4 linked regions of the Drosophila melanogaster genome follow. Changing the gene in region 2 together with the main gene of any one other region gives a genetic interaction. Each region holds a gene or a part of one and is shown on either strand. Other genes may lie near its edges.

Region 1 (5,643 bases), on a different chromosome or scaffold from region 2:
TTGCCCCGCGTGTCCAGCCGGCGATGATGTTTCAACAGAAACCCATGAGACCATTAGAGTCCCAATGGTATCGCCATGGACAAAGTAACCTGGCCCAAGGCAATACTTTCACTAGATCCACGCAAAATCTTTTGATGCCATCGCGTTTGCCGTCCATAAACAGGAACGTCGGCGGAGCTGATGTAAGCGCCTGGGTGGCGGCCAATCAAAGTGTGAACCAAGATCTATGCACTGCCAATCTAATGAGACATTACGAAGAGAAACAGCAGAATCAACTTTCCCGCACTTCGTCACAATCTTCTGGATTTGAGTCGCAGCCACGTCCAGAAGCCCAATGCGGAACAGGTGCTGCAACTGTAAGGGACTACGGCTGGTCCGAAGCCCGTGAGAGTCAGCGAAATTTCGCAGTTTTTCCGCCAATGCCGTCACCTACACCCACAATAACGCCTAGTGAATATCAATACTCGAGGACTGCTCTTCCGCAGCAACAGCCAACTATGCAGCCGGGGGATTTACTTAGGAAGTGGATTGAGATTAACTCAAAATCCTCACAGCCAATACACTAATGTGATGTGAGGTCATAAATATCTAGAAAAACTTAGAAAAAATTCTGGAAAAGATCACCGCCAGTTGGGAAATTATATAAATTTGACTTAACTTAATTATCAAATAATTTATTTTTGACTTACAGTTTTTAAGCTTCTTTATTCTACTAAAGGTTAGTCCTCCCTTTACTTATAATCGACTAAATAAGTAGTGTTTAGCTAGACATTCTTTAATCTGTGTAGCTCTAAGTTTCGTGGTTTTCAATATAGAACTTTTCAGGGAATTGAAAGTCAGGGAGTAAGATTAGAAGGTAATATAAATACTACTTGATTTTAAAGGGAGAATAAAGCTTTGGTAACTAAGTTATTTATTCATTGAAGACAATCATTCAAAGTTTGTTTTTATCGTTAACTAAACTTTTGTGACTCACATAAACTAGATAAATTGTTTATTATACAAATACATATTTTTTGAAATAAAAGCAAAACAAAAAAATGGTTATTATTTTGTTAAGTTAAGTGCAGTTATAAGAAAATATTCATTATCAAGTTAAATTCAATAATAACAGTGACCTGTCTTTTTGGTTGTTTTTCTCTTTTAAAAAATGTTATATTGTTCTCTTAGATTTCAGAACACGCTCTCTTAGTGCAGTGCTGCCAGTTGGTTAACGGCGCGGTGTAGAAATCAAAGTGGCCGTTTCCAAAGTCGGCACGGCACTTCAAAAATTCATACATTTGCCCCTGAAAGTATGTTGTTTATGTTGTTGTTAATATTGAACAAATATATTATGAATTTAAATTATCTTAATAAACAATTATGTATATAAGGTTGTGTAGCCTCTAACCATTCTCGAATGTAAAATTTAGCTGGTTATTTCAAATTACACATTAATCAATCAGTCTGTGGGCGCGGTTTTTAGATGACAGCTTGCTGTATATTTAGTATATAAGTAGTAACAGGAGAAAAAGTTTAGTATTTTTGAATACCGTCCAGCTGGCAACACTGCTACAATATGGCTGCCGTATCGTAATGTGAATTTTTTTGAGAGACCGAGACGTACATACTTTTGTTGCTGCCAAAGTGGATGTGGACGGAGGAAAATAGTAATATTTAACTGCGTTGCGGGAGCGGGACAATCGTCGTTTGCCAATTGCGGCCACCGCTTATGTCGGCTAATCGGCTATCAATAATATTAGTAATCGTATCAATATCAAGTTACCCATTACCCATCGCGGATACACATTAGTTTTGCGAAGGGCAGAGCAGCGCAGAGCATATAGCGAATATTTCCATTTGTTGCCAACAAGACTGTCGTTGTTGTTGTTATTATTGTGGCTTTTCAGTGACTGGGGAGAGCAGTGGGGGTGCGTTCGTAATCCTTGTGAAAAATCGGTGACCGTTCTTCTTAAAAAAAAAGCGAAAGAAAAAACCATCGCGATAAGAAAATATAAGAAAGAAAAATCTGATTGAAAACCAAAGAGCTGCTGCTACTGCTGCTGTGCGAGTGAGAGCGGTCGAGAGGTAGCTAGTGAGCGAGTGAGAAAGCTATGTATTGCATTTGCATTTCGTTGTGTGTGTCGTCGTTTTCGTTCGGTAAAAGTCGGTAAAAAGCAGAGCCTTTCCAAACCTAACCACTTTCGGGTAAACGGAATCGGAAAAGGAACTGGGAAAATCGAAAGAAATTAAATAATAATATGCGTTACATCGATGGCAACAACAACAACAACAGCAGCGACCATCAGCTAGCGACTCCTCTCTGAGCGAGAGAGCTAATAGCTTTTCAGCTTTAGCTTTTCTTGGGCCAATCGGAAATTGTATTTCATTGGTAAGTACAAGAAGTGGCAGCACCATAACCAGCAAATCAATACTTGGGCTGCCATTCCGTTTCGTTCCGTTCGTCAGTTTTCCTAGCCCATTCGTTGGCGCTCTCTCTTTTCCGTCAGTCTCTCTCTTTCTCTTCCCCAAAAGAGAGCGAAAACCCCCCGCCCGCCCACACTCGGTGTATGTGTGCTTTGTAATAACGAGTACACTTTTCTGCACATACGAAAAAGAAGGAAAAAAGAATAATAAAATAAGAAGAAAAAATGAAAGACCGAATAAAGAAATTCACATAAACTTATGGCACTCTCCCTCGCGCTCTCTTCATTTGCAACTAGTGTGCGTGCTTAAATTTTTAAAAAACAGTTGTTTTCACCGAAAGGGAATTTTCATTTCGATGGTATATTTTTAGCCAGCAAGCTCCTTTCGGAAATTATTTATAACCCCCCTCGAAATGTTTCCACGCAACGATTTACGCGATAAACTTTTACAAAATCAGATATAAGTAAGTGCAAAGACCACTTGATTTTCGTATAGTATGTAAGTCCACGAATTGCTTACGTATTTATGAAATATTACTGTGCGTAGGTCGGTGGGCGTGTTTCAACGTTTTAGCCCACAGTTTTCACTCATTTTCCTGCGGGGTTTCCGCTTGTGACAAAGGCATTCAAAGAACCAACAAGAAAATCCCGGGGGCGTGGCACCACCCATGCAATTAAATTAGACCAAAAAAGTGCTTACACTTTGTATTCTAGAGAATGTTTCAAATCATTGAACATAAACAGAAGAATTCATGCGAATTTAGAACTAATGGAAATTGGGAGCAAGGATACATAAAGTTGGAGGAATTCAAAAATGTAATTGTTTAAAATTTAAGCGTTAGTAACCAAGTTCTTGTTAAAATATATGCCGCTTAATTAAGTTTAAATCTGTTATTCACAAGTAAAATTATATTTATTATTAATTTCTCTTAATTTGGATATTAAAAAACCTCATTTTGTAGATTGCAAGAGTACGAAATCAAGAAGACGTACATATTTGTTGTTAAGAATCCGTTCCTAATATAAGTAAATTGCTAGAACAATGGATGAATTTTCGGAGAATATAGAAAGAATTGCCCTCGAGTTGCTGAGCAACTTGGTTCATGGCAATGCCACTCTTAGTGTTCCCCGAAATTCATCCGGAAACGTGATCTCGGAATATCGACGAGTCAGCTATAATAATCGCGGAAGTCGCCATAGCTTTTGCGTGCTGATTTACATGCTCTCCCGGGTGCACCGATTGCAAGTCCGCGGAGGAAGTTTCACCGTCCGTGGACTATACTATGACAATCCTCTGCTAGTCCGGTCGCAGTCCAGGATTGCCGAAGCCAGGCTAGATGTCTGTCGTATGCTGAGGACATCCCCCCTAAGCTTGGGCATACTGGCCGCCTCCAAGGGCCTGGTGGCAGGTGAGTTTATCTCGAAATCCTGATCAAAGGCTCCCTGCTCATCCGGTTACTCTTGCAGGCGACTTAAGGCTGCTGATGACCAACGGAGACGTTCTGGACAGCAGCTTGTATGGTGGACCTCTGACATTGCCCACGGATCCCGAGAAGATAGATCGAATCGAAACGCTGGCGGAATTTGTGCTAATCGTTGAAAAGGAGTCGGTTTTTGAGAGTCTCTTATCCAGAAATGTATTTGGTACTTTTGAACGACGCTTCATCCTTATAACTGGAAAAGGATACCCCGATTGCTGTACCCGGAGGATTGTCCATCGGCTCACCGAGGAGAACCAACTGGCGGCCTACATTCTCGTTGACGCCGATCCATTTGGCGTCGAGATAATGCTAGTCTATCGCCATGGCTCGAAGTCCATGAGTTTTTCCAGCCAAGGACTAACCACACCTGCGCTGCGTTGGATTGGTCTACACCCCTCGGAGATTCCCGCACTCGGCACTGGAGCGGTTGCCCTGGTTGCCGGCGACAACAAGAAAATCAATGACCTCCTCGCCCGCCACGATTTGGAGCCGGGAGTGCGGCAGGAACTGCGCATGCTGCAGGACGTTCAGCTGAAGGCCGAAATCGAGAGTGTCATCGACTTCCTGACCGACGACTATATACCAAATAAAATCAATCGGAACTTGTTTTTGTAGAGTTCAGTGGTAAACCCCATAAGCCAAATATTATTACTCTTGAAATATTATTAGTTAGTTTAAAATATGTTGTAGGTATAGTAATATAGTAATTAGTTTGTAAAAAACGTATCTCTATAAAGATACCATAAGACTCCTAAAAATAGTACTGTAAAAGTTAGTTCGCGTAATCAGCTTTCCATTAATATTTGAATTAATTAAGATAGTAATTTAATAATTAAATTCCCCATTCATTGGGATTCCGATTTTGTTGCTTATGTTATAAAATGTAATGTTTAATTTCAATGCAGCTTTAATAACGTCAATATAATATTACGACTAATTAATATTAAAGTACCTTAAGATCCTTGCCTTTAGAAAACATAATTTTAATATTTGGATAACGGATAATAGTAATTTACACTCGTAATGTCTGAGTAATCTGCTTCTAGTGTTTCGTATTGAGTGGTCAACTTGATTTTCTGCATTACTTTGTGTGGACGAAGCCAGTAAACTCAAGCAGACAAAGGAGATTATTTTTTTTATTGTGCCTCTAAAGTGTTATGGCTTGAGGTCGGTAATCGGAGCCGGTAATTGGCTACGTTTTTGATAATGGCAAGTGAATGGCCAGTCATATTATAGGTGCCGAAAGATACAAGTAGTCTGCTTTGTTTAGATCCATACTAATTGCGTGCATTTATTTCTTGCAGATGTGAAGGAGTACCACGGATGATAGAAACCCATTGGGCATTTGACTACTTTTAAGCACCGAAACCTGAAAGACTCCCGAAAATACTCGAATCTCACGTGCAGAATCTCTAAGAATCCCTATTGGACTGTTTAAAAATATGTCGACAGCAATGCGCACCACACTGCAGTCAGTTCCTGAGGCCCTGCCAGCGGATAGCGTGTCCAATGGCACAGCATCCAATGTAGCAGCACCGGCGGCGCCAGTATCGAGCGCAACAAACGCGGTGCCACCACTGGCCGCCGTCTCCAGCACAACCGCCACCTACGCCACCAACTCGATCAGCACATCCTCGCATTCGGTCAAGGATCAGCAGCAGCAACAGCAGCAGCAGCAGCATGATTCGGCCAATGCAAACATTGTGTCACTGCCACCAACGACAACGCCAGTCGCCAACACTAACACAATGATGCCC
Region 2 (4,740 bases):
GATGCTTCAGAAATCGTTTGGCAGCTGCATAACATCTTAAAGAGATTTCAAAATTATTTCTGTTTTGGTTACGATATAACTCCTACCTTGGTCACAATAAGCACATCCTGTGGATGCCAACGCATCGTTACCTTTACTATGTGCTCGAATGCTTCATCCCGGTGCGAATTGTACGCACAAAGACCAGCCAAAATATTAAGGCACAGACGCGTTATTGTTCCATGATCTGCATCTACAGATCGCTCCCTCTGCATGGCTAAAATATTCCACTCTTCAATTATTAAAGCGATACGTTAATTGAAAACTACATTACAATGCAACTTGAGAGCAGCGCCAACAAATTCCACCAACATTTCAATGGGTTGCCTTTCCAAATAATCGAGTAAGACTAAATTCGTCCTGAATACATCAAGTACATAGATTTCCAGACGTAAAATCTCTGGTAAATCGCTCTTATCTAAAATCTCAGCTCCGTTCGCCTTGAGCTGGAACTGAAATGGGTATTAGAAAACGAGTTTTTGAAAGATTATTCATTTGGCACCCACCTCAATGTGGCTGAGATATAGTCCAATTCTTTTTATAAGTGGACAGCCAGTATAGGTATCTGCATCGAAAACCTTGTAATGCAAAAGCCTTTCCATTGTGCAGATCAACTTTAATAGACTATTCAGGTTTTTTATTATTGCCGCCGGTTTGTTCTCCTTCGCGATCTCAAAGTTAAGGCCTCGCATTAGGCAATCATAATTGGATTGAATCAAACAATTCTTTGTTTCGCTCTGAATGTGAGTGATTGACTCAAAAGGAGTGGCGTAGTCCTTGTCAAAGCAAATAAGCTGTTCGTTGTACTTGTAGGCCAAAAGATTGCGTTCGGTGGAAGGAACAATGTGTTCTGATTGAGAGATCTGTCGCAATTGCTGGACATCCAAAAAATTTATAATGCTGATTGCAAAAGTATCCGCCTGCAACTGGGCATCAATACTGTCTATATTGTGTATCATCTGAGCGGCGATGAATCTATCCGCACTTCCGTATGCCCAAGCTATGATGGGTTCTAAGTCAGCGGACGCCTTATCTTGACCACATTTATCAGCATGGATGAAGATCTCTCGAATCGTCGCTAAGCATTCGTTGCGCTTTAGCATTTCATTCGAGATAATATTGTTAAGCAGCGTGCTGGACAACTTTTGATTTAGTTTATTGTGTCTGATCAGCATCTGCAGCACCAATTGCTTCTCCTTGATCTCCTCACTGTTTGTTGTTGTCTCTGATATGAGCTGGTTTGCCATTTGACTCCAAAGCTCACCCAGAAAATCCTCCCGAATAGATTTAGAGTGCAAAAGCTCCTGTTCTTTAGTCAAAAGATGAGCCAGGCATAACCGAAGGTTCCGGAGATTTTTCGCATTGCCGTACATTTGCATTATTTCCGCCACGGTGGTTAGCGCCATTTGGTAGTTGGCCACATTTAGGATCACGCTACTCAGCTGAAGTATCTCAGTGAATATCGCAAGCCAGACGTCGTTAAAGGTGTTTTCCTTTTTGTCGATCAGACTAAATATAGTTTCCATTTTATCTGCAGGCTTCGGGATCTTTTTCGGCGCATCGCCTTCCCCATTTTCATCAGCCTTTTTCGTCTCCAAGTGCCAAAGCACCTGCAAATAATAATATAATTAAAATTAAATATATTAAATATTACTAGCTTATGCGACGTACTATATACATAGCCAGGGCAGACATCTTGATGAAGGGGTCAGAAAATTTATTATTGCTCAGTAGTGCGTTCTTGCAGCGAGCCCAGGAATTCTTTCGGATCTCCACATTGACAATAGTTTTCAGCCGCAGTAAAGTTTGCGGCCACTTTTCATGAACAGGCACACCGAGTGTATTAAAGTCACACATATCCATTTTGAGATACATTGAATGGAGCGACTTTGAAACGCACTGAAAGAACAGATTTCTGGTGTCGTCCCGGAACGCATCCTCGTCATGATACTCGCATAGTTTAGGTAGAATCTCCTGCATGTGCACGTTCAATTGGTGATTGTAGTTGACAGCAAGCTGAAAGATTGTTGCAAAGTTTTTAACATTATCTAAAGATATAATAAGAGTCCTACCTCTGATGCAAATATTAAGTAGACGCGAACAATCTCAGTTTTTCTGGCTCCAAAAGCGGAGAGCGCAAAGCTGCTGAGCTCCGGCAGATATTCCACTAGATCCACGTGCAGCTGAACCCGGTCCTTGGCCAAACTGACGGTTCTTGTGATGCATTTCAGTATTCTGGTTCGCAAGACCTCGTCCATATCGACATTCAGTTCAAAAAGATAGGAGAGAATCCCTGTAATACATCATCAAATTAAAAAAAAGAGTCTCTTTTGGGCCAGAAAGTAACTTACTACTGTATTCGTTAATTTTAAGGTCGCGCACATAGCTGACCGATGAGTAAATGCCCTTTTCCAGCAGGCTCAGAATGCGGTCGCCAAAATACTTGACTACCACTCGCATCTTGATGCCATCCTCGAATGCACTAAATATGCTTGTTTTGGCCAGGAAATGCCCATTTCCGGAGGTCTGCGACCCCGCTGGAAATCACAGGTTAGCTTTAATAACGTGTTTAAGTGTTTAGGAGTTACCTTCCAAGTTGAATTGTGTGATCTTCTCGAGGACATTATCGTACAAGTAGTTTTTTCCCGCCAGCGTTTTGAATACTTTCTCGTTGACATCCTCCAGATTTCCAGCTTGCTATCATTAGGTTAACAATTAAAATGGAACTGATTGTTTAACGATAATGGCTAGGAACCTTAAAGAGAGCCTCCTTCGACGCTTCAAAGATTGTGGTCCAGGATATATCCGAAGTTTTGCTAAGAAACAACTTATCCAGATCCTCTCGGCAACTTGAGAGCTTTTCATCCAGCTGTTGGATGCCCTTGTTTCGGCTGGCTGCCTTCCCCGACTGAAGGTCCCCGAGTATCCGCTGGATTTCGTTTAGAAGTGCACTCATCCTGGCTGCCCGGCATAACCTGTTGTAATGTTGTATTAATTATTAAACTAAACATAAAATGATCTCTCAAAATGTACTTAGAGTGACCTCTGCCAGAGCGCCAAAAAATACCACGATCAATAAGAACAGCACTGTTGTTAAATGGCTGGGCAGCCGTGTGCGTCAAATAAGTGCCGATGGAGAACTAGAATAACCTTATATAACGAAAGATTTATAAATAAAAAAATCCCATGTTCCATATTCCACTGTTCCTTCATTAATTATTCCTATATTATGAATTATATTCATTAAGAAAGGAATAGGAAATGTGGTTTTTAAAGTAACAAGCTACGTTCAGCGCTTCTACTACATATTAGCCAATTTCTACGACTTTACAGTTTCGGTGTGAACGTTCTGCGTCAACATTTCTGGACTTCTGTGTGAAGCGCTTATTAGGGTGGCCAAGAATTTTGCGGTTACACCCCTGGGAATTTAGTACTAAAATTGTTGATGGCTTTGGTAACACTTTTGCTTGTATATAAAAGGCATTCGCAAATTTTGTACGGGTGTAATTCAGAAAAAAACGCCAGCCAGTTTGATCGAAGGTGCGGCAGATTAAAAGTGAAGTAGCAATTAAACGGTTATATTTTAGTACTTTCTAAGAAACAACACACAAGGTAAGCGTTTATTTACATTTTAGTATTTATTTCGTTGTTAAAAAAAGTGCGACCACCTCGATTAAGTTTGCCGGAAAATAATTTGAAATCAAACCACGTGTTTTTTGTAGCCCCTTTACTATTTAATCAATACTCTCAAAGAAGGCAAGGTTTCTCGAACTTTCGACCCCAGTGAGTAACGCTTCGATGCACACTTACATACATAATTGCAAAGGTGCATCATAGAGCGCCTATTAATTAGGCAAATTAAGATTCTAGAAACTTTGGAAGTTCTGACTAATTGCATATTGATGCCTAATGCTTGATTGTGATTATCTGGAATATTCCACTGGAAAACGTGCCGCTTCCCACTCACTGCAGTCACAGTCTACTTTCGGTTGAGTGAGTATGTGTGAGAGAAAACTTGCGTCATCCGTTGCGGGGTCTTGACATTGCTTGTGATTTTTATTGTTTCTGTTTCCAATAAATCAATGTCCAAGTTACTCATCGTAATTGGTAATTTATTTTGAGTGCCATTGCTCTTTTGCTGGAATATTCCAGCTTGGGAAAAATGTGAGGCTTCCCCCCCCCCCACACAACCACACAAAAATGCGTGCATGTCTGATCATTTAATTTTAATGCTATACTGCTATAGAAACATGTTGGATTCCCTTACATACAGTCAAGGCATATAAACATTGTTTATAAATAGAACTAACATTCATAAATTTATACATTATGCGGCCTTTTATTAAATATACTTAGCTAAAAAAAAACACGTTGCCAACCGGCATTCAAAGTGCGGGCACGTGTGTTTGTGAGCGGGTAAAACCAACACACGCAAAGCCGTCCCGGACACAGTGGTTGTCTCCCTCGCTCGCACATACGAATCACCCTCCAAAATGACCTGGCTTCAGCAGCGTGGTTTACATATATTTAAGTATATGCATGTGTGTGTGTGCTTGTGAGGGCGCGTGTGTTTGCGTTTTTAGCATTCCAGAATTTTCGCCTTTGTCCATGCGGTTTCTTCTCTTTTTTGCGCACTTTGCAGAAAAAGGTGGCAGCTGCTCGGTCGCCATTTATAATTCTCATCGATCCAGCATTGATCTT
Region 3 (6,097 bases), about 14 Mb from region 2:
ACCCATGCCTGCCCACCGCACCACCCTTAACCCTTTTGGCAGTGATTTGCGAAAAGCGCGCGCGCACAAAAGTATCTCAAACGCTTTTTTCGCACACTTTGCAGGCATTTTAATGCACAGACGACCGAGAAAAAAATAAAATAAGAGCCGATGCTCAAAGCTCACTTCTTGGAATTTCGATTTACAATTTAGCTCTTCACTTTTTGCTGGTCCTGTGATTTTTTTTGTTCGTTATGCTGTTTTTGAGGTCCCCCGCTATTGTTGTGCCCCATTCCCATTTCCATTCACATTGTTGCTGCAATTTCTTTCTCCGCAGCCTATTCTCATTCTTTATCAAATTTACCCACTCACACACGCACACACACGTGTGTGAGTGTGCTTTTGCATACGCTTTTGATTCCGCTTCCTCCGCTTTGCCCTTTTTCTGGAGCCCGGCGATATCACGGTGGTATTATCTGAAATCCATAATTGCGAGGCTATAATTGGAATGAATAAAAGCATAAAAACTGGATAAGAATTTGGTAAGTAAAAATGAAAATAGCAGAACAACTCGAGCTAGAAACTACTTTTAAATAGTAGTAGTAAGTTCACAGATTTACCTCTAGTATATGTATTTTGCCACACTGTGCGCTCGGATCGCTATGAATGAGATTGGTTCTGAGCTTTTTCCTTCCCTATGCGCTTTTTTAACTTGTTCAAAACCACTTTATGATTTCTGCGTCCTTCTCGTCGTTTTGTGCTGGTTGTTTTCCATAAAGATGATCCTCTCGGCTCTTCCTGCAGCAACAACAAAAGCTGGCCAAAGGAATTCAGCGGAATGAAACCGTAGCTCATTTGGTTGGTGGCTTCGGCTGTGGTTGGTCCCGAAATCATTTACTTTCGCCTGCTCTTCAAGCGGTGTGAATGATATGGCCTGGTTGCACTGGCCTGTCCTTCATTTGTTTGCCGCGAACCTTACAAAAACACACTCGAACTGCACAGCACAGCCCATGGGTGTTCGCAAACCCCCAACCCTCCTTAGTGAACCCCTCGGATCCTCCAGAATGACTCCCGCAGGGCATCGGCGCATATGTAACTCGATTTTTGCTTTAACTTTGCCGCGATTGCACACAAACGAGGGGCTACAGTGGAGCTTCGGCGTGGGCAACTAGTCTGAGCTTCACATTATCGATTATTGGTCATATCGCATGGTTGACATCATGATTTTCCACGTGTTTGCTACTGTTAGTAGTAGTTTATCTAGCTTAAGATCTGTGTTTGTACGGATTCTCATTAAAGACACACGGTCCATCGTGTAGAGTGCTACCTGTGAATGGATCTCTGTGGCTGGAAGCTTTGCTCATTTAACGACATTGGCGTCTACGTCTGCAGAACACAAAGGAGCCACGCCCCCTCCACGACCGCCCATCCCGCCGGTGCGGCGATCATATGACTGCGGCCACTACCTGCTGATATGTAGTTTTCAGGGAGGGGTTACAAGGGGGGACAGGGGGCAGCAGGAATGCGTGGATCTCACATTATTACCTGCAAACGACACAATCGATGCCGCCTTGAAATTCTGCTTAAAGATTCGCGCAGTTCTTCAGCGTTTCCTCTTCGCTTCTTGGGGCTCCACACTATTTTCACATGTGTTCGGTTCGGAGCCTCCTCGGCTCCACTTCGGCTCCAATTGTGGCGACTTCGGATCCCCTTCGGCGGTACGCGTCGCGGTATAAAAGCTCGCGCGCCAAAATCAGTGGCCTCCATAGAGCTGGCGACCACCAAGGCGCCAGATTCTCCTCGTTTCTCGGGACATTGGTATTCGGTGCGGGATTTTGCGATAGGGGAAGTGCAGGGGAAAGGATTCTACCTGTTGCCGGCACTCTTGTGCTCCACATGAGCAGAGATTTCCAAAACTGAGTCCATATGATCCTGATTCTCCCATTTTCCCAGTTTTCCTTTTCGCATCGCACATGGCTCTGGCCCCGTCCCCGTTATGTGTGTTGGTGTCGCTCGTTGCCCGTCTCCCTTCCTCTTCTATTGGCACTTCTGGGAAGGATAGGAAGGAAAGGATAGGATGGGAAGGCAAAGGAAAGGAGCTGAGAACTAAGAGCTAAAGAGCGAAGCAGAGAGAACAAAAAACGCGCGCCATCTCGCTCGCGCCCATTAGCTCATCAGCTGATCGTGATCGGCCGGGGTGCGGTTATAAAAACCAGCTGCTCGGCATATTCAGCACATTCGTTCTCAGTTCGTCGTCGAGTCAACAGCTCTTCTTGTTCAGCCTTTCGGTTCCTCGTTCGGTGAATTGAGATTGTGCGGTTCAAATTATTGAAGAAAAAGAAAAACCTCGCACAACCACACTCCGAAATACAAAACAAAAAATCATGCTCAAACGGACACATTAACAAAAAAAAAAAACAAAAAAACCTAAATTAACTAAAATGCAATACTAGCCAAAAACCAAGGACTACCATCTCAAATTCTAAAAACAAACTGTAAATGAGTGCAGAGTGACCAAGAACAAATTGTGTTTTAGCAATTTCTTCGGCTTCAGACTCGCCAGCGAAATCAAACATCTTCGGCTCTTCGAAGCAACCAACGCAACACATAACACAACAAAACCAACAAAATGCTGTGGGAAACTATTGTGGAGGAAAACAACTGCAGCATGGATTGCAATATCAGGTAATTATGCCGCCCAAGGATTAGCAACAGCAAACCCCTTTTGCACCAGGAATACCAGTTGAAAATACGCGATAAAAAGTGCAAGTTCAAGAGCAACAGCAACAACAGCAAAGCAAAAAAAAAATACAAAAAACAGAAATGTAAACGATGGGGCCAACAAAAGTAAGAGTTCTTTTTATCACGCTCGGCACGTTTGCTTTTTGCCCGATTTTTATTTTGGCGCTCAGCTGTTGTTTTGTTGCTCGCTTGCCGTTTTTCATTCATTAAACCGGCTTCCGCGAGGCTCCAAAAAAAAGCAGCAGCAAAAAATGCTTTTTGTCCGTCGTCCGTCAGTCAGTCATTTTTTTTTTTTCGATTTTTGTTCCTTTTTTCCTCCGTGTTCTTTGCGGTTCTTTGTGGCGTGTTTTTGTTGTATTATCGCTGCGCTTGCGTGACGTGTGACCCAAAAGCAAAAGTCAAGCTGAAAAGCAGATGCATGCGAAAAGCAAAAGGGAATTCCATTTGGAGAACCGCTAATGCTTAAGTAGAATCAAGAAGAAGAAGATAAGGCGGTACGCAACGGTTCCCTCGCAATTTTAGGGAATTGTAAAAATTATCAAAAAAAAAAAAAATGGTATCAATGATATCGTGTGCGCAAGTCGAATCCCAAAAATTCCAGTTTTCGAAGCTGCATTAAAGTAAATTTCTAGTTCAGCTCCCTCTTCACCCAATTACAACAACCCCTCTCTGTATTTTCTCGGGTATTTTTGTTGTTTTTACACCACCAACGCCACCACCACCACCAGTTTGTCAGTATTTTTAGCTGGGTTTAATGACCCGCTCTTGCGAGAGTTTAGGGAAGCAAAAGCAGCTCTCTTCCTCGATGCCGAACAGTTGACTAATCCTCCCCCTCTCTTTGTTTGCTCTTGCAGTAATAACACCAGCAGTTCGAGTAGCATCAACAAAATGAGTGGATCTCGTCGTGCTCGCCGTTCCCTGGAACTGATGAGCATGGACCAGGAGGAGCTGTCGTTCTACGACGACGACGTTGTGCCCCAGGATCAGCAGCGATCGGCCAGTCCGGAGCTGATGGGTCTGCTCTCGCCGGAGGGCTCGCCCCAGCGCTTCCAGATCGTCCGCCAGCCGAAAATTCTGCCAGCTATGGGAGTATCAAGTGATCACACGCCGGCGCGCAGCTTCCGCATCTTCAACAGCCTGTCCTCCACATGCTCCATGGAGTCCTCCATGGACGATGAGTACATGGAGCTCTTCGAGATGGAGTCGCAGAGCCAACAGACCGCCCTGGGCTTCCCCAGTGGCCTAAACTCGCTGATCAGCGGCCAGATCAAGGAGCAGCCTGCTGCCAAATCGCCAGCGGGTCTGTCCATGCGCCGCCCTTCGGTCAGAAGGTGCCTCAGCATGACGGAGAGCAACACCAACAGCACCACCACCCCACCACCAAAGACCCCAGAGACTGCCCGGGATTGCTTCAAGCGCCCGGAACCGCCAGCATCGGCCAACTGCTCGCCCATCCAGAGCAAACGCCATCGCTGCGCCGCCGTTGAGAAGGAGAACTGCCCCGCACCCAGCCCACTCAGCCAGGTCACGATTAGCCACCCCCCTCCACTGAGGAAGTGCATGTCCCTGAACGACGCCGAGATCATGTCCGCCCTGGCCCGCTCCGAGAACCGCAACGAGCCCGAGCTAATCGGCGACTTCAGCAAAGCCTATGCCCTGCCCCTGATGGAGGGTCGTCATCGGGATCTGAAGAGCATCTCCAGCGAAACAGTGGCTCGCCTGCTTAAGGGCGAGTTCAGCGATAAGGTGGCCAGCTACCGCATCATCGACTGCCGCTACCCCTACGAATTCGAGGGCGGCCACATCGAGGGAGCCAAGAACCTGTACACCACCGAGCAGATCCTCGATGAGTTCCTCACCGTCCAACAGACTGAGCTGCAGCAGCAGCAGAACGCCGAATCGGGACACAAGCGCAACATCATTATCTTCCACTGCGAATTCTCCTCGGAGCGTGGACCGAAAATGTCCCGCTTCCTGCGTAATCTGGATCGCGAGAGGAATACCAACGCCTATCCGGCGTTGCACTATCCCGAGATCTATCTGCTGCACAACGGCTACAAGGAGTTCTTCGAGTCGCACGTTGAGCTGTGCGAACCACATGCCTACCGCACCATGCTGGATCCCGCCTACAACGAGGCCTATCGCCACTTTCGCGCCAAGTCCAAGTCCTGGAACGGCGATGGCCTGGGCGGTGCCACCGGGCGGCTAAAGAAGTCGCGCTCGCGACTGATGCTGTAGGTTGTGGGATGATCGTGCAGTTCGTTATCTAAGTTTGGGTGTTATCGTATTGTATATATAGACGTATAGGGGTATTTATTTCATGCTGCTTTTAAGTTGATTTTTGTTGATTTTCATTTGTTAATCCGTAGACTAAGTTTCTCGCACACGACGCAGACACACACCCGACACTCGCATTCATGCAAAACAGACAATTTCATTTGGAATTTAACGCTTTTGTTTAGTTATTATTGTTTTTATGGTTTCGGCTTTAGTTCAATTATTTAAGCACTCTAGTTCAAATTTTAAAGATAACCAACGAACAAGCAAACGAAAAATGTGCATTATAATCTAAAAACGTGAGGAACCATGTCATTTAAATTTAAGAGGCCGATCCCGAAATCAGACCCCTTAATCATTTGTAGATGATAAGCAGAACAAAAAATGGCTAAAAACAAAAAAAAAAAAAGAAAACAAATATCACACAAAAACAAACACGCTCATTAATTTCATCCATAAAACTTTATTTATAAGATCTATCGTTTAAGAGTTGAAAGTTGTAAACTTCTGCTAGGTACAATTTACGCTTATTATTTGTTTATTTTTATGTAATCCGTAACCGAACAACAAGGCACCGAAACGCAAATGCAAACAAGAAAACAAATATTTTACCATGTAATGATTATTATTTAAGCAAAGCTTATTTTTGCATCAAAAAAGGCAATATTATTGAACAAAGACCATCAATTTTAAATATACATTAATACACGACGAAAAAGAACTGAAATTCCTGGAATTTTTATCATTCAAATGGCGCCAAATGCGCATTATGTGCGGGATTTCGGTACTCTATGGGTTTTCACAGAATTAACAACTTGAAATTGGCGCGCAAAGCGAGTAGTTGCACTTTGTAAATGTCAGAGGGCGCTGTGTCCGTAAAAAATTGAGTATAACAGCGGCGACTTTTTGGCAGACTGTTATACGAAAATTTGTATGTCACTTTATATTTCTTTAAATTAGAGATGGACACGTGATGCTTTTTTTTTTAAACCCACGCATACGATATACAAATACTCTTTTAAATTTGTTAACTTGTTCTATAAATTGAAGGCAAAGCCTAACACTTTCCGAAAATCGGCTTATGATAATCGAATTTCAG
Region 4 (8,095 bases), 2.9 Mb from region 2:
TAAATCCTAGATTTTATACGATTTCCCGAAAGTTTTGTGTCAACAAAAGACGGAGTTGATTATACAAATCTTTATACTCACATGCCTGTTATTAACTAGAAGAACTTTTAATGAAAATTTTTTACATTTTTGTCTCTCCAACGACAAAAATATTGAACATTTGCAATAAAACATAAAGTATAAGGCGAGCACTTTGCTTTTTGAAACTGCCAAAAAATTGCCCAATGAAATGCTTTAAAAAATACATAAATGTTAGTGCCTGGAAAATATATACATATATGCCACCACCTGATTCCCTGGTAGATGCCAGCAATATAATCCTATACGTGTATGGAGAGCCTACGGAACTCCAGCTTCCTGATCCCAGAGCACATTTCAATGTTCGGCATTACTAAACTCAGACTAAAACACACCCACAGGCAGCTCAACTTAGGCGTCAAGGATTCGCACAGTCCAAGGTAAAAGCGATGGCCGGCCAAAATGGCAGCGAGGGACCATCCCGAACTGAACTGCTTTGCTCTGATTTTGCAAGTGCTACGTTTTGAGTATGCTTTTTATTTGACCGCATATTGCTTTGCATTCGTTGTTAAAATTATTTTCATTTACTAAGCATAAGCCAAACCGTTGACATGGGAAAAGATAATCAGATAAGTGTCATTTATGCCCCTTTGCAGGCTAACAAACTCAAGGACAACACACCACCGTACGATGCACCGCCGCCCACGCCGATCAGCAAGGTCCTGAACATCACCGGCACCCCGATCGTTCGCAAGGAGAAGCGCCAGACCAGCGCCCGGTACAATGCCTCCAAGAACTGCGAACTGACGGCCCTCATTCCGCTAAACGAGAGTGAGTAGCCTTGGAGTAGATCCTACTACTTAGTATATTACTTTATAATACATGTACTGCCAGCTGTTCAGATCGATATCTCTTAAGCCTGCAGATCGGTTGCATGGGGTAGAACTTGGTCGTAGCCATGTCGTAGCATACATTTTAGGGCAGGGTTCCGTTTAGGCGATATAAAATTACCTTTCTTACTGTCTACCAACATCGTCAATTAAGTTTTTATGCAACTATACACTCAAAACAGATTGTATAAATCGTAGTAATTCCCATTAACGATGCATAATTACATATATTATGTCAATTAACTCCGGTAAATTTCCATGATTATAAGTTCAGCTTTAACTTACAAGAGGCATTCTCTGTAAAGTGTACCTACGACCTGCAAGCTTGTTGGGAATATTGATTGGCCGGCGCTTGATTAATTTCGCTCAGCTGTTGTAATTTGTTTATTATTTGTTAAAGTTAAAGGTCAAGGGAGTGTCGTCTGATTAGGTGGGTGGCAACACTGACGCACGGCCACTCACACATGTGAACCAAGCAGCCGCATCAATTCACACCTCTCTCCACCTCTCTCACTCACCGGAATTTCAACACATGCGCTCTCTCCGCAGCCTCTCATTACACTGGGAGAAAGCATCGTTAGAGGATTTCTCAGACCGTCTTAAATTTCATATATACACCGGCATTTCTTTATGACACAAATGTATTCGATTGATTTAAACTTGTGTATACAAATAATTAGAAAAACTGTATCCTGCAGGGAATTAATTTAAAAAAAAGCAAATTCAATATTTTTGAAAATCATATATGTACATATCTGCGCGTAATGATTATGAAATTGCTACACTTTTTTTTTCTGTGCAGCATGAATGTCATCGCATTGCGTTATTCACATACCTTTCTGCTAATTGCTTGGGCGGTTTCGACTCACAAATCGAATAAACAAATTTCGCTTGTTCAATACTATTTTATTTTATTAGGTTTTATTGTTATTGTGGCTCGCTCGCCCACCAGCCCACTTTCTCTCTCTTTATTTTCTCTCTGTCTGCTGCTCACCAAATTTCTCTCCATTTCATTCTCTCTCGATATCGATTTTTCCGATTGGCGCAGCAGTCGAAGCAACAAAAAAAAAACCGTTTCAAGACCGTGAACGTCGTGTGCCCCGAAAACTTTAATATTAGTTGAAAATATTCGTTTCCCAAGTTAATTGCTCTCCTATCCTATTCCCTCATTTGTTCCCATTCGAACCGTAAGTTTTTCCACGTAATTATGGCCATTTGTGAGGCAAAAGAAGAATTTTAGCAGAGGCGTTGTCATTTCCATTTTCATTTCCAATTGCATTTCATTTCGTTTTGTGTTACCATCAGCGCATAATCGCATTTGGCGTTAATCTAAACCATTATCTATATTGCAATTCCATTACAGATTCTATAGTTTCATACTTAGCGTGCCCAAATTGAGTTTCTAGTGTAGTCTTTCTCATGTGTTGTTGTTGGTCGGCGGGGGCGGCTGGTAAAAAAAACAAGCGTTCCGTATCAAGATTAAAACCGAGTGCCATTTGCTCCAAGTGCCGGCACTAATGAGATGGTCTTCGGTGCTATGTTGCTGACGGGCAACGGGCTCAAAGGTCCCAAACAGCAGCAACAGCAACATCAGCAGGAGCCGCAGCAGCAGCAGCAGCAATCGCAACAGCAGCAGCAAGAGCAAAAGAAACCGGCGCCCATTAAATCCTCCAGCAAGGAGCAGGAAACGCAGCCCATTGCAGCCGGGTATTATGCCCTCGGCATACGCATACCCAAATCTCCATCGTTTCACAGCGGCCTAGATCAGCTGGCCGACGACGAGTTGGACGATCAGGTGCAGGATCAGCAGCAGGAGCAGCAACAGACCGGCAGCCGATTCAGGTTTAGCAGCGTGGAGGAGCTAAAGGCCAAGTTCGAGGGGCGGAAAACGCCCCTCTCACCGCCAGAGGCAGCAGCAGGAGGAGCAGCCGGATCCGGAGCACCCACCACATCCTCCTCACCATCGTCCTCGTCCACCAGCTCCAATTCGTCGGCCTCGGCCCTGTCCTCGCTTTCACAGGCGGCCTCATCCTCGCTAGCCTCGGCGGCTGCTAACTCCTCGGCCTCATCCTCGGCCGCCACATACGGTGGTGGAGCGAATTCGGCTGCAGCTGCACTGATTGCCTCCTCGCCATTTGGATCGCAGTCCTCCACTTCTTCGCTCTCGCTATCCTCGAATGCCGGCATGTCGAAGAACGCGGCAGGAGCAGGATCTGGATCTGGATCTGGAACAACGTCAACGGGCGCTGCTAGCGGCAGCAATTCACTTGTGTCCACTTTGGCACAACATTTCTCGGCGGCCACATCCGCCGCAGCATCGGCGGCAGCCGCTGCGGCATCCTCTGCCTCGGCGGCGTCCTCCTCGTCAGCTTCCTCCTCATCCACCGCCACCAACAACGCAGCCAGCAGCTCCATCGCCGCCAGCAAGGTTTGCAGCTTGGTCTTGTCCACATACACACACACCCAGCGATCTGAAAACCCAAAACATAACCACATCACCACCTCCAAGTACAAACCACAAATTTTACACTTTCTTCCAAACTTTCACTAATTGTGTTAGCTTTTTGGATAACGATAACTAAGTTTCAAAGAAAAAAATAACAATTCAAGTACCTTGTTAATCAAAGTTTTATTTACATTGTACGCTAGAAGCTAATACATTTAGTAGCATCTCACACACTATCCACCAACACTAACTCCATCCCAATTGAACAAACCGAAATTTGATAAACCAAAACCATACTCTGCTCTCATTTCATCGCTTCCTCATCATCCAGTCACCTGTGAGCGCGGCCGCGGCCATAAAGAACATACTGAATGCCACCAAGAGTGTGGGTACTAGTGCTGCGGCGGCGGCAGCAGCGGCGGCCACCTCCTCCTCATCATCCCCATCCTCTGCGGCGGCTGTGCCGTCGTCCGCCGCCACCGCCGTCGCCGCTGTTCCCACCACCAGCGATGTGCCCGCAGAGGAGATGCGTCCGACGGTGGCCCAGAATCTGGTGGGCGGCATTAGCATCTCATTGGGAATTGGCCAGCGCAATGGCGGCGCAGCACCTGCGTCATCAGCAGTAATGGTGACACCTAACGCCACCATGGTGGTGACCACATCGAGCCTAAGCATCCGGCAGAACGGTGACATACTGCCGGGTCATCCGGCGGGTCTTCAGCCCTCGCCCCAGACGCTCCAACAGCTGACGGGCAGTCCGGGAAGGGCTCGCGACCGGAATCTATTCTACACGCCACCCACCGCTTCGGTTGCCATGGCGCTGCCTGCACTGCGAGGTTGCTATCCCGAATGGATCCGGGCCAATGGCGATGGATGGAGCCATTCCAGCCATTGCCCTTGGGCCTGAGGTCCTCCGGCTACTTGATCCTTTCTTCCGATCTTCATTATGTTCGTTTTGAGTTTCGCTTGCCTGCTTTTGGTTGGTCGTTTTTGTAGTTGTAGGTTTTTTTTTTTTAATTTTATATTAAGGTCAATTTTATATGGCTTACATTTTGTTTGATATATCTATCACTTATATTATATATTTAAAAAAATTAATGATGATTTCATTTGTATTTCCATAGAGACCGCCGCCAGTGAACGTGAGGAGCTGTTCATACAGAAGATCCAGCAATGCTGCACACTGTTCGACTTCTCCGAGCCGCTCAGCGACCTCAAGTTCAAGGAGGTGAAGCGGGCGGCTCTGCACGAAATGGTCGATTTCCTCACCAACCAAAATGGCGTAATAACCGAAGTTATTTACCCGGAGGCGATCAATATGGTAAGCTACTAATTTACATATTTAAAATAATATCACATGCTTTTACCACAACATACTTATCTGTTCTCATCAGTTTGCTGTCAACCTTTTCCGAACTCTGCCGCCATCGTCCAACCCGAATGGTGCCGAATTCGATCCGGAGGAGGATGAGCCCACGTTGGAGTCCTCGTGGCCGCATCTGCAACTCGTTTACGAGCTGTTCTTGCGCTTCTTGGAGTCACCAGATTTTCAACCAAGCATGGCAAAACGTTTTATCGACCATCAATTTGTATTACAACTATTGGATTTATTCGATTCGGAGGATCCACGTGAACGTGATTTCCTGAAGACTGTTTTACATCGCATCTATGGAAAATTTTTGGGCTTGAGAGCATTTATTAGAAAGCAGATCAACAATGTCTTTTACAGGTGAGCTCGTCATTGGAATATCTATAAGGTTAATGCCTCACATTACTAATCGCATTCCACATTTAGATTTATTTATGAAACGGAGCATCATAATGGCATAGCCGAATTGTTGGAAATCCTGGGTAGCATTATCAATGGCTTTGCTCTGCCGCTTAAGGAGGAGCATAAACAATTTTTACTTAAGGTATTGCTGCCATTGCACAAAGCCAAGAGCCTCTCGGTCTACCATCCGCAGCTCACCTATTGTGTGGTGCAGTTCCTGGAGAAGGATCCTAGCTTATCGGAGGCGGTCATCAAGTGAGTAAAGAATTCCTTATTTTGCGCATTTTCTAATTAGCCTATCGCTGCCATATTTCAATATTCTTGCAGAAGCCTACTTAAATTTTGGCCCAAGACGCACAGTCCCAAGGAGGTTATGTTTTTGAACGAGCTGGAGGAGCTGTTGGACGTAATTGAGCCGGCCGAGTTCCAGAAGGTGATGGTGCCGCTGTTCCGCCAAATAGCCAAGTGCGTCTCTTCGCCTCATTTCCAGGTGGCCGAACGTGCGTTGTACTATTGGAACAACGAGTACATTATGTCGCTGATAACGGATAACTCGGCGGTGATATTACCCATTATGTTCCCAGCGCTCAATCGCAACTCAAAGACGCACTGGAACAAGACCATCCATGGTCTGATCTACAATGCACTCAAGCTGTTCATGGAGATAGATCAGCGGCTTTTTGACGAGTGCAGCAAGAACTACAAGCAAGAGAAGCAGATGTATGTGTTAACTTTAGTTGATAATTAACTTCCATGGGACGATGCACTCACGTTTTATTACTTTGTACTAAACATTGGCGTTTTTTTTTTTTTTTTGCATTGCAGGGAGCGTGAGAAGCTGTCGCAAAGGGAGGAGCTCTGGCAACAGGTGGAGAGCTTGGCCAAGACCAACCCGGAGTGGACAAAGGCGCGCCGGTTTAACGACTGCCTGCCGGTCAGCGACAGCCGGGCCCTGTGCGATCAATATAGTGAGAACAGCGATTCAGCGTATGATCAGAGCGAGCAGAGGGCGCGCCAGCCGCCGCCTCCGCTGCCGCCACAGAAACAGGCGCACCAGGAGCCCCGAGAGGTGAGACAGGCACTTGCCACATTAACAACACTAAACAACTACTAATCCGCCACGTGTGATCCTGGCGTCGCTGTGAGCTGTGCCCAGCTAAGGCCCACTCTGTTTCAACTCTAATTCTAATCGAACGAATGTCTGTTAAAATAATCACACTCATGTCATTTAAAAAAAAAAAAATACATATTTGTATATCTTTAACTTTGTCTATTTATTTATTAATTATTTGGTAACCTCACTGTCTGCCAAACCAAACGCATCCATGCAAATTCATCCACGACACAACAACTTTTCTCCTGCACTTTTGGTTAACCGCATACGAATTGGGCGGAATTAATATGTAGTTTATCTTACTTAGATGTTAATTACACTTTGGTCCATCTTTTAACTCATTTGTGGTCATTTTAATGAGAGAACGCGTTCCTTTTGTAACATCAATATGATTCTCATTTATTAATTTGAACACTTAACATAATTTTCCTCAAGTGAATCACCATTTTTAAGCATGAATCCCAGTTAGAGTAAAATCTGTGCACATAACTATTAAAAACTAGTGTCAAATGTATCATGTTGTTAACAACTCAGAACCAGAAACCATACAACACTCCTCGATCTCAGACCTTTGTAACACAATTCGACATTCGGGTGTAGATGTATATATATATCGTAGTCGTGTGTTGTCCAACTGGTGGTCATCGAGTTTCCATCCAGCACCACAGCACTCGATATCGTAACGCAATCATCCCGCACCACCGTGTAACTTCACCCGCCCAGTGTGTGTGTGTGTGTGTGCTGCGATGCCTTAGTGTCAGAAGCGGGTCCATTTTCTATTGCCAAACCCCCCTTCCCGTTCCACACAGATTCGTGGCGAACGGAACAAGGACAAGCCGCTGCTGCGCCGGAAATCGGACCTGCCATCGGACAGTGGAACCGTGAAGGCGCTAAACGAGCACAAGCGGACGGATGAGTACCTCACAACGCCGCCGCCGGATGGAAACTACTAGGAGAGAGCTGGCCAGCCGACGCCACCAATATTCGTAGCTCCAATGAGGAGGATAGTCAAACCACAGAACTTACCCAAATAGACCTACACACTCCAGACTAAGGCCAGAAAGCATACATATATAGAAGCACAAGTCCAAGTCCAGAGATGAAGGATAGAATCCGCACAACTAGAGAACAAACAATTTTGAACGATGCATTTGCATTTGGGGGCTTAGAGTGGGGGCGTGGCAACGGATGCAAGCCAATTGCTATATATATATACACATACAAAATACCTATCTTTAGTGATCATGCATAGTACCAATAAAGATCAAGAATCCCCAACGAGATCGATTGTCTAGCTCCAATTTCGTTTGCATATGCATTTCAAGATTACCCTTTTGCTCCAACGCATGCCACAGTGAAGCTTAGCCCTGAATGACCTTCTTATATATATTCTTATTTCTTATATCTTTTACCCAATGCATGTTGCTGCTAGCGTTGCTTTAGCTATAGCCCTATCAATTAGATCTAATTGTGCAATAATCTGGTATCACAACTATGCTCTTACCATTTCAGTAAACGCGTGAATATAATTGTACAGTTGAATTTGAATTGTCTAACTTAAGGCGTAGGCGTTTACCACCTTGATTGAGTACATATATATCCCCCGATTTCTGCCACATGCATACATAGATAGCTATATGACATCCAGACATTCATGCCACATGCCACTATTATACACACATACTATATAAAACATGTTTACTACTCCACGACTCAAATTTGCAAATATTGTACGCTATTTAGCCTAGCAGTTAGAGCAGCATACCCATAATATATTTATATGAAACAAATCGCCCAGCAGGACACATAAATTGTGGTATGTATGTGCGTGAGTGTATTTTTGTATGTACTACCTA

What was found.
Region 1: of tefu (region 2) and mei-W68, changing one suppresses a phenotype caused by changing the other (phenotypic suppression), as found in Drosophila melanogaster (one study listed by BioGRID).
Region 3: of tefu (region 2) and stg, changing one suppresses a phenotype caused by changing the other (phenotypic suppression), as found in Drosophila melanogaster (one study listed by BioGRID).
Region 4: of tefu (region 2) and wrd, changing one enhances a phenotype caused by changing the other (phenotypic enhancement), as found in Drosophila melanogaster (one study listed by BioGRID).

What each region holds. Positions count from the first base shown.
Region 1 is NT_033778.4:19,454,605-19,460,247, forward strand, and holds mei-W68 (meiotic W68), read left to right. Parts: upstream 1-1,565; 5' UTR 1,566-2,371; intron 2,372-3,367; 5' UTR 3,368-3,447; coding exon 3,448-3,814; intron 3,815-3,872; coding exon 3,873-4,501; 3' UTR 4,502-4,919; downstream 4,920-5,643. Other genes in the region: CG7744 (uncharacterized protein), read left to right, coding at 1-566. UniProt on the Drosophila melanogaster protein: Required for meiotic recombination. Together with mei-P22, mediates DNA cleavage that forms the double-strand breaks (DSB) that initiate meiotic recombination.
Region 2 is NT_033777.3:15,239,149-15,243,888, forward strand, and holds the start of tefu (telomere fusion), read right to left. Parts: upstream 3,089-4,740; 5' UTR 3,073-3,088; intron 3,015-3,072; 5' UTR 2,996-3,014; coding exon 2,795-2,995; intron 2,737-2,794; coding exon 2,628-2,736; intron 2,577-2,627; coding exon 2,391-2,576; intron 2,333-2,390; coding exon 2,112-2,332; intron 2,056-2,111; coding exon 1,711-2,055; intron 1,650-1,710; coding exon 546-1,649; intron 492-545; coding exon 314-491; intron 257-313; coding exon 87-256; intron 36-86; coding exon 1-35. UniProt on the Drosophila melanogaster protein: Serine/threonine-protein kinase which recognizes the substrate consensus sequence [ST]-Q. Required to suppress spontaneous apoptosis of proliferating cells during development, and for their proper differentiation. Required for female fertility.
Region 3 is NT_033777.3:29,251,440-29,257,536, reverse strand, and holds stg (string), read left to right. Parts: upstream 1-1,736; 5' UTR 1,737-2,608; coding exon 2,609-2,664; intron 2,665-3,575; coding exon 3,576-4,959; 3' UTR 4,960-5,394; downstream 5,395-6,097. Other genes in the region: CG45544 (uncharacterized protein), read right to left, coding at 640-873. UniProt on the Drosophila melanogaster protein: This protein functions as a dosage-dependent inducer in mitotic control. It is a tyrosine protein phosphatase required for progression of the cell cycle. It may directly dephosphorylate Cdk1 and activate the Cdk1 activity.
Region 4 is NT_033777.3:18,170,855-18,178,949, forward strand, and holds wrd (well-rounded), read left to right. Parts: upstream 1-1,989; 5' UTR 1,990-2,095; intron 2,096-2,271; 5' UTR 2,272-2,430; coding exon 2,431-3,336; intron 3,337-3,685; coding exon 3,686-4,190; intron 4,191-4,478; coding exon 4,479-4,675; intron 4,676-4,748; coding exon 4,749-5,083; intron 5,084-5,149; coding exon 5,150-5,380; intron 5,381-5,452; coding exon 5,453-5,845; intron 5,846-5,950; coding exon 5,951-6,194; coding exon of another isoform or gene 6,195-6,239; exon of another isoform or gene 6,240-6,387; intron 6,388-7,048; coding exon 7,049-7,192; 3' UTR 7,193-7,521; downstream 7,522-8,095.